Cricetulus griseus: one gene and its partner. The protein of the gene in region 1 purifies or fractionates together with the protein of each later gene. This does not show direct contact. Links are inferred from orthologs where the notes say so. Each region holds a gene or a part of one and is shown on either strand. Other genes may lie near its edges.

Region 1 (4,809 bases):
ACATCTAATTAAATTTTCGATACTAAGGTTGAAAATTTTTTAGCTTTCCACAAGGTATTATTACCTAGAAGTTGGTCAATATAGACTGATTTGAAGTCAGTTCTTTATTAATATGGTTGAATGTATAGATTCTCAAAGGTGGGTACAACAGGAACAGTGAAAAGCTAAATTTTAGTTCTATTTTTAGTGCCCTCTCAATTTTTTTTTACTCATGTTATAGAGTTTTAGTCTTACATAATATACTCTTTTAGGCTTTAGTAAAAATATTTGGAATAAATGAGTATTCACATATTAAATACAAATGTTTTAAAAACCAGGCATTAGTAAATTACTTATTCTCCGTGTTGCCACTCTTGCCTTAATTTGTATCAGTGTTTTGTCTTGTCTTCTCTACAGTACTAGGGGTTACAGTCAGGGCTACACACATGCTAGGTGAGTGTACCACCACTGAACCATCGCCTCAACCCAGTGAACAACTCTTAAATGGTTTTGGAACCTTGGTATGTTTTTCATGTTGAATTCCTGAACTGTGAAGTATGATTATCTGGAGCCAATACAAACTAAATGGAGACTTACTGATTTTTCTGCTGAAAGTTCAACCATTAACTATCTAATTACCATTCTCCAGACGATTTGCAGGTCTATCTTCACAGTCTAGATCGTCCTCCAGATTTACCATCACAGTTACCAGATGTGAACCTCCTAATACACTGCCCTTAAGAAGACCTAGACAAAGCAGGGCGTTGGTGGTGCATGCCTTTAATCCCAGCACTTAGGAGGCAGAGGCAGGCAGATCTCTGAGTTGGAGACCAGCCTGATCTACAAGAGCTAGTTCCAGGACAGCCTCCAAAGCCACAGAGAAACCCTGTCTCGGGGAAAAAAAAAAAAAAAGAAGAAGACCTAGACAATTTGTCAGTTCTTATATCTATCTGCTGTTCCTCTTACCTCAAGCTCTCCTCTTTGAGGACTAAAGATTCCCTGCACTGAAAACTTTCATTCCCGGTTAATGCTTTCCCTGAAAACAGGTTTATTTGCCCTTAGCAGCAGCAGAGAAAGGCCTATCCTTGGGGGTCCTTAGTGCAGTGCTCAGCAGATGCATTATGAGCAAGGCTGACTGACATTAGGCTCTTGCTTTGTGGGGTTGAATTGATTCAGCCCTCCAGCTCCCCTCAGTTACTTACTCCTCACTGCACGTACGTCCTTTTTGCAGGGAAGAAAAGAAAAAGAAGGCTCTGAAATAGATAAAGATATACCTGACTGTGCAGTAGCCGAGATTTGGGCAGAGATTTATGGCACCGATAGTTTCCTTTACTCCAGGCACTATACAGTCCAGTGATTTTTCACGTGCAAATGCTCTTGAATCTTTAGACTTCTAAGCTGATAGGCAGTACGCCATGAGATTTACTGTGTGACCTACATATAATACAGTAAAACACCCACCCCTTCACCCCGCCCAATCTCGGTGTAAGGACAACAGTAGGTAATCCTGGTTGGTCAGGCTCACTGACAGCTGCGAGCGGACTGTCAGCGCTTGTAGCTGGTCTTATGCGTCCGACATTGCTCACAGAGGGCTACTAGCTCTTGACCTCACAGTCCTCTTGGCCTGGGGTGCTCCCGATTCAGCGGTGTCCTTGATTTTAGGTCCCCGACGGAGGGCAGCCTAGCGGTGACGCGGGTTTCCCAGCCGGCGAGTTTAGGACGCGGCACCCGGAAGTGGCGGCTGGAGCGGGAGCGCTGAGTTGTCGGGCGGCGGGACAGCGGCCCGGAATAGGGGGCGGGGGCGTTGGTCATGTTTCCCTTCGGGCCCCACAGCCCGGGCGGGGACGGGGCGGCTGGAGCTGAGGAGCGGCCGCCTCTCGGAGGGCCGGCGGCAGCTTCCAGACCGCCCTCTCCAGCTCCGCGGCCGGCGCCTCCAAGGCAGGGAGCTGACGCGGCCCCTCCCCCGCCGGCAGCCCGGAGCCCTCGCCTCCCGGGCGGCCCCGCACTGTCCCCGGCCGAGTGCGCCGGAGAGCTCGCGGCCCCCGGAGCTCTGGAGTTGTCCGCTGCTGCAGCGCAGGCAGAGCTGTCACCGTCCTCCTCGCCGCGCAGGCGCTCGAGGCCAGACTGCAGGGCAGGCAACCGGAGCCGGCAGGGCCTCAGCGCGGGCCTCAGCGGCCCTGGCGCCAGACTGTTCGGCTGGCTGAGAGAACGAAGCCTCGGCCGCGGGCTGTTCGTGGACCCGGCGCGGGACAATTTCCGCACGATGACTAACCTGTATGGTTCCATCCACCCCGCAGACTCCGTGTACCTCAGCACCCGCACCCACGGTGCTGTCTTCAACCTCGAGTATTCGCCCGACGGGTAAGCAAGCGCCTGCGCCTCAGCTGGCTCCCTCGGTTCAGGGCGGCTTGTGGCCGTGCCCCTGGTACTTTCAGAAGCACTTTGTCTGTCGCCTATGAGCTCCGTGCTGGCCTTCTGAGGTAGGCAGGCCCAGTGCTTCCCTTCGGGGTCCTGGAGGCTCGGTGAAAGAGAAATGCCTTAAGCCATCGCTGCACGTCTGCCAGAGCCGGTCCACAAGTAGGACTTTCTGGTACGCAGTAGGTGCTCACTAAATGTCCTTTAAATAATGCCCACCGTTTCGCTGTTTTCCTCGGTTGGCCCTTCTCTGAGCTGAGCTTGTGTTAAAATGTTCAAAGAGGAAGCTCGCAGCATCTTTGGACTTTGTGCCAGATCCTGCCTTGAGAAGACATTCGGAAGCTCTAGAAAGATACTAAGACACTGCAGAAATACGTTTCTCAGTATTTGGGCCATTTGTGGGATAGGCTAATGCTTGGGTTAAGGAATGCAGCTTTTGTTTTGCTTTGTTTTGTTTTTGACTGACATTTGTTTACTCTTGGTTTACTTCAAGCTATAGGAAAATTTCAAAACTAACCGGTGTCTAATACTTTATCTCGTGAGTGCACAAGTTCAACAAGCAGAGGAAAAACACTGCTCATGGTTTTACCTCAAATGACATAATAGCATCCTTATCACATCGGGCCTCAGGGTTGCTAGTCTTTGCTTCGTTAATTCATTCATTCATTCATTCATTCATTCATTCATTCATTCATTCCCCCATTAACCAGATGCTCCTGGAACACTTAATAGGTTGCAAATGCATGGATAGCAGTGGTTCGTAAAACTATTTAATGACATTCCTTTTACCGAGCCTGGCTCTATTAGTTCAATTGGATATGAGATTCCAAGTAATGCACAGTGTACACCAGCAAACTGAGATAAAGGCGTAAAGCCCGCAGAGCTCGGTTACCCTGAAAAAGTGACACCTAGATCAAGATTAGAAAAAACATTGCAGGAGATAAACGAATCAAGACTGCTGGGTAAAGAATAGATGTATTTCGTAAGAATGTGAACTCATGCTGAAGGGCAATATTAGCATATAATGTTAAAGGAAATGGAAATAGGGCTGGAGAGATGGTTCAGGGGTTAAGAGCACTGGCTACTCTTCCAGAGGACCTGGGTTCAATTCCCAGCAGCCACATGGTGGCTCACAACCATCTATAATGAGATTTGGTGTAAACATGCCAGAACACTGTATACATAATAAATCTTAAAAAAAAAAGAGCCCCTAATGCAATTCCCACCCTTGGACCATTAAAAAAAAAAAGAAATGGAAATAATGAAACAAAAAAAAATTTATAGCGAGAAAGACCTAGAATATGCTGAGAAAGAAGCATTGGAACACAGTTACTGAGCAAGTAAAACCTGTTGTGGCTCATTGACCTCAGTGCTTCTTTCTAATTATACCTGGTACTAGAATCTCTAGTTATGGTAGTTGGCTGGATTATTATCAGTGGGTGCATACCTGAATTCAAAAGCAAACTTTATTTAGCTGAAGCTTATTCATGGAAACTTCTTCTTTTATATACTATTCTTAAAGCGTCTTCCTCTCCCCCAAATACTGTCTGTGCTTCTCTTTTCTGTAGCTCAACCCCTCTTTTACCAAACCCTATACTTTCAAGATTTAAGAAGTACTGTGTTACTAGGTGTGGTGGTGCACACCTGTAATCCCAGCACTCAGGAGGCAGAGGCAGGTGGATCTCTGAGTCTAAGGACAGTCAGGGCTACACAGAGAAACCCTGTTGGGGGGGGGGGGATGTAGTAGTTGTGCCAATTCTCTGGAGGTAGAATTTTTAAATAGGAAATGGTGATTCTAGAATTATGAAAAATTTAATTCAAATTGCCAGGACTGTTAGAATGAGGTCTATATTACGTATAGTTCTTATTTGAATAAGACTTCATTCTCGCAGGGAAATTTATTTATTTTTCTGTTCATCTATCTATCTATCTATCTATCTATCTATCTATCTAGATCTCTAGTCTCTCATAGTAGCACTGGTTGCCTTGATACTCACTTTGTAAACCAGGCAGGTCTTGAAGTCACAGAGATCCACTTCCCTCTGCCTTCCAAGTGCTAGCACTAAAGGAATCACATATTCATACAGGTTTCTGTGCATTCCATGACTTACATGTGAAGGCACTTGTATGGAGGTCAGAGGACAACCTGTAGGAGTCATTCTTTTCTTCCACCATGTGGGTCCCAGGGATGGAACTCGGATCTCAGCCTTGGTGGATCTCTACCCATGCAGTCATCTCTCCAGCCCCAGAGCTTTTTTTTTTTTTTTTTTTAAGATTTTATTTATTTATTATGTCTTCTGCCTGCATGCCAGCAGAGGGCACCAGATCTCATTCAAGGTGGTTGTGAGCCACCATGTGGTTGCTGGGAATTGAACTCAGGACCTCTGGAAGAACAGTCAGTGCTCTTAACCGCTG
Region 2 (4,165 bases), on another chromosome or scaffold:
GGTTTATTTGTGTATTTAGCTCAGACGAAATCTTGAGATATACCAAGCACAGGGGATGCCTCCACACGCCTTGACCCCTGTGTGTGCAGACACTGCCAAGTGGAGACACCTGTCTACACGTCTACAGGTGGCCTCACTGGTGCCCTCTTTGGGCCTCTGCAGGCACTGCACAAACATGGTGCATGTACTTACAGGCAAAATGCTCATGAATATGAAATAATAAAATTATAAAACTTAAATAGCTGAATAAAAATTCTAAAATTCCATATTGAATACATAAGACATCTGATAAATACTTATTTGTCTTACACTTTATTATTTGAATCAACCAACTAGAAACTTAAATTTAGAATCAATTACAGTTTATATATTTTTTATGTGTATGAGTGTTTAGCTTGTATATATGTATATGCACCATATGTATGCAATGCCTACAGTGTTCAGAAGAGAGTAGAGGTCAGAAGAGAGCATCAGATATCCTAGAAGTGGACTTAGAGATGGTTGTGAGCCACCATGTGGACTGGAAGCCAAGCCTGAGTCCTCTGCAAGAACAGCAAGTACTTTTACCTGCTGAGCCATCTCCATCTCTCCAGCACCTAAACCCATCTTTTAACAAATGTTTTTTTCTGACTAATAGACAAAACTTCAAATGATAATTTGCATTGTAAATTTCTCAGGGCAAATACTCGCCTAAAGTTTTTGTTGTTGTTGTTGTTGTTTTGTTTTTTGTTTTTTGTTTTTTTCCCAAGACAGGGTTTCTCTGTGTAACAGTCCTGGCTGTCCTAAAACTCACTCTGTAGACCAGGCTGGCCTTGAACTCACAGAGCTCTGTCTGCTTCTGTCTCCTGAGTGCTGGGATTAAAGACATGCACCACCACCACTTAGCTCTAAATATTTTTTGACTCGTTACTTTTGTTAAATAATGGCTTTAGTGAAATGAGAAAATAAATAATACATTCACAATGCACTCAGAAAAATGAGATTCACCTATATGAGCCACCTCAGGTAGGCTACTGGACAGGCATGCCTCCATAGCAGGTATGTGCTCCAGGTCTGCAAGCCATGTCCTGACTGTGTGGTGTGGATGATACTGTTTCCACTCACGAATGCTGCTGCTTCCTGCTATGACTTGTTCTTCTTCTACACACTACTAGGGCTGGACCACCTGCTGGATGAGAATAGGGTGCCTGACCTCACACAGATGTACCAGCTGTTCAGCCGGGTGAAAGGAGGACAGCATGCTCTACTGCAGCACTGGAGTGAATACATCAAGGTATACACTGGTGCTTGCATGCTGTACCCTGCAGAGGGAAATGAGCTACTGCTAGGGATCATCTGCTTTCCCATCTTCCAGATCACCTAATGAATGCTTTCTCTTGAGCAAAATCTGCTCTTCTATGATGACACCAACAGTGATGGCCACTGTTTGGGTGGACACCTGCAGTGTAGTGACAACAGCTGTGCATCCATCTATGTAAACATTTGTTTCTGCTACAGCAGCAGCCTCTGGTGTGTCTGCTCATCAGGCATGAATGCTGGTGGTCATGCCAGAGGAGCAGCAGGTGGCAGTGACTTCAGAGTGTCAGCCCACCAGGAGGAAAATCCCTGATTGTGGATCTCGGATAGGCAAGGCCCCAAGATCTCAGACCCCAGAGTGTCTTTTGCTTCTTCTGTGCCTTCACATGGTTGCTGCTGCCATCTTTCTCTGGTATATGGATGGTGTGAATGGGTGTGAGGAGATCCCCACTGCCTGTAACATTGTGTGTTTATCTCATGGAAACGTGTTACTCTACTGGGCATTTTTACCTGTGGATTACTGTGAAAATGAAGTTTTCCTAAGATGTACTGTCTAATTGATAATAATATTAGTTTAAATAGAGTTTGGGTGATATAAAACAAACAAGTGTCACACAGCTAGAGCAAATGGATTTCTACTGAGGAGCAGTAAACTCTGTGACTTAGGTTAATGATTAAGAAAAGCAATTAATTTCCAGTAGACCAGCTAGCTTAAATTCTATTAACCTTTATGTTAGGAGATGTGTTCACAGGTTTTGGAGTACATCATAGCTGAAACAAAGCTTTGAAAATGACTTAAAAGTTAGACTAAGCTGTTCTAGTCAAATAACTTTGAGGTGAAAAACCCAAGAAGACAATCTGAAGTTTTAGAAAGACACATAGCTAAATGAGGAACAATTCATTAAGGTCAGAGAACAAGAACAAAGCAGCCCAATTATCATTGGCTGACATACCTTTCTTGCTAGGATTGGTTGATGACCAAAGGTGATGATTAACTCCTTATACCCATTTCTGCCCTTAATCTCCTGATTAAAACAAAAACAACAAACTATTGATGAGTGGGCATGCACCCTCAAGATTTAAAGTAGAGCTGTCTGATTTTCTTTTTCATATATAAAAGTTTAGGTTTGTGAGTCCTTTAAGATTCTTTATAAGATTACCTTTCAAAGCCAGGTAGTGGTGGTGCATGCCTTTAATCCCAGCACTCGAGAGGCAGAGGCAGGAGAATCTCTATGAGTTCAAGGCCAGCTGGATCTACAAGAACTAGTTCTAGGACAGCTAGGGCTGTTATACAGAGAAACCCTATCTCAAAAAAAACCAAAAAAAAAAAAAAAAAAAAAGTTGCTTGAGTGTGAATGTACGTGAGTTCTTAGGATAATTTGTTTTTTACCTATAATGCAGTTTAATCATGTATGGAAAACATGCTGTTTCTTACTTGTATTCTTTGTAATCATTCACTTGAAAAATAGGGTATAACCACCACATTGTAACTTTTATATTGCCTGAAAATTTTTGCTGGGGTATATAAGCTATAAGGGAAAGAATAAAGACAGAATTAAAATGAATTAGAAGGAAGACATCAAGAATGAGAGAAGGAAATCACCAGGAAAATAAACAGACAATATGAAAGAAGAATAAAGAAAAGGTCTGAAGGAAACTGTCAAGAGTGAGAGTCTTTTTCCCTCGCCCCCTCAGATAAAAAAGTCATAGCATGCACTGACTCCCCAGGCAGCAGTAACCTCTGCTCACTGTGAACCGACACACACTGGCACAGCAGTTTGGTCTGCCTACTGCTGTGTTTCTAACTCCAATTTAAGACCTCAGTTCCTACCTCTTGTTTTCCAGGCCTTGTGTCCCTCACTTGTCAATACAGCACCACTCAGCATCTTCCAGGAGTGTTGCCTGGGGCTGATGCAGAACCTCTCTGAATGCCAGGCACCACCTGCTCATGGCCACATGGAGAGAGGGTGCTGCCAGTATCAAGTGGGAAAACAAGGCGCCTACCATTGTGTTGAGAGACAGCAAAAGATTCACTTTGGCTTCTTAAGCCTGTTGCTGACTTGGTTATTTCTTCTTTCTGTAGACCTTTGGGACAACCATTGTCATCAATCCCGAGAAAGATAAAGACATGGTCCAAGACCTGCTGGACTTTAAGGACAAAGTAGACCACGTGGTAGAGGTGTGCTTCCAGAGGAATGAGCGTTTTATCAACCTGATGAAAGAATCCTTCGAGACGTTCATCAACAAAAGACCAAACAAGCCGGCAGAGCTCATCGGTAGTGAAACAGTTCTAGATGCTTTTCCTTTTTACATTTAAAAAGATTTGTTTTATATTGTACACATGTGTTCCTGCTCAAGTGGAAGTCAAAGGGCTTTCAGGGGTCTTTGAGTCATATGGTTTTGGGGATTGAACTCAGCTTGACCGCAGGCATCTTTACCCACTGAGCCATCATTCTGGCCTTTTAGGTGCTTTTTAATTTTAAGAGTGAGTGCTAGGTACATGCCTTTAACCTGAGTATTCTCCATGTGGTGAGCAGGTGAGACCTCTCAATAGGGAAAAAAAAAAAAAAGGAAAATGAAAGCTAGACATGGTGGTGAACACACCTTTGATCCTAACACTTAGGAGGCAGAAGCGGGTGGACCTCTGAGTTTGAGGCCAGCCTGCTCTATGTAGAGAGTTGCAGGGTAGCCAGGGCTACATAATGAAACCCCATCTTAAAAGAACCACAAAAACAGGGGCTGGAGAGATGGCGCAGAGGTTAAGAGCACTGACTGCTCTTCCAGAGGTCCCGAGTTCAATTCCCAGCAACCACATGGTGGCTCACAACCATCCGTTATGAGATCTGGTGCCCTCTTCTCGTGTGCAGAT

What was found.
Region 2: the proteins of Dcaf10 (region 1) and Cul4a purify together in Homo sapiens (affinity purification with mass spectrometry; 4 studies listed by BioGRID and IntAct, with this or other methods). This does not show direct contact. The link is inferred for Cricetulus griseus from reciprocal best matches to the Homo sapiens genes DCAF10 and CUL4A.

What each region holds. Positions count from the first base shown.
Region 1 is NC_048595.1:98,108,416-98,113,224, reverse strand, and holds the start of Dcaf10 (DDB1- and CUL4-associated factor 10), read left to right. Parts: upstream 1-1,708; 5' UTR 1,709-1,789; coding exon 1,790-2,340; intron 2,341-4,809. UniProt on the Homo sapiens protein: May function as a substrate receptor for CUL4-DDB1 E3 ubiquitin-protein ligase complex.
Region 2 is NW_023276807.1:67,647,591-67,651,755, reverse strand, and holds part of Cul4a (cullin-4A), read left to right. Parts: intron 1-1,154; coding exon 1,155-1,273; intron 1,274-3,379; coding exon 3,380-3,572; intron 3,573-4,165. UniProt on the Homo sapiens protein: Core component of multiple cullin-RING-based E3 ubiquitin-protein ligase complexes which mediate the ubiquitination of target proteins. As a scaffold protein may contribute to catalysis through positioning of the substrate and the ubiquitin-conjugating enzyme.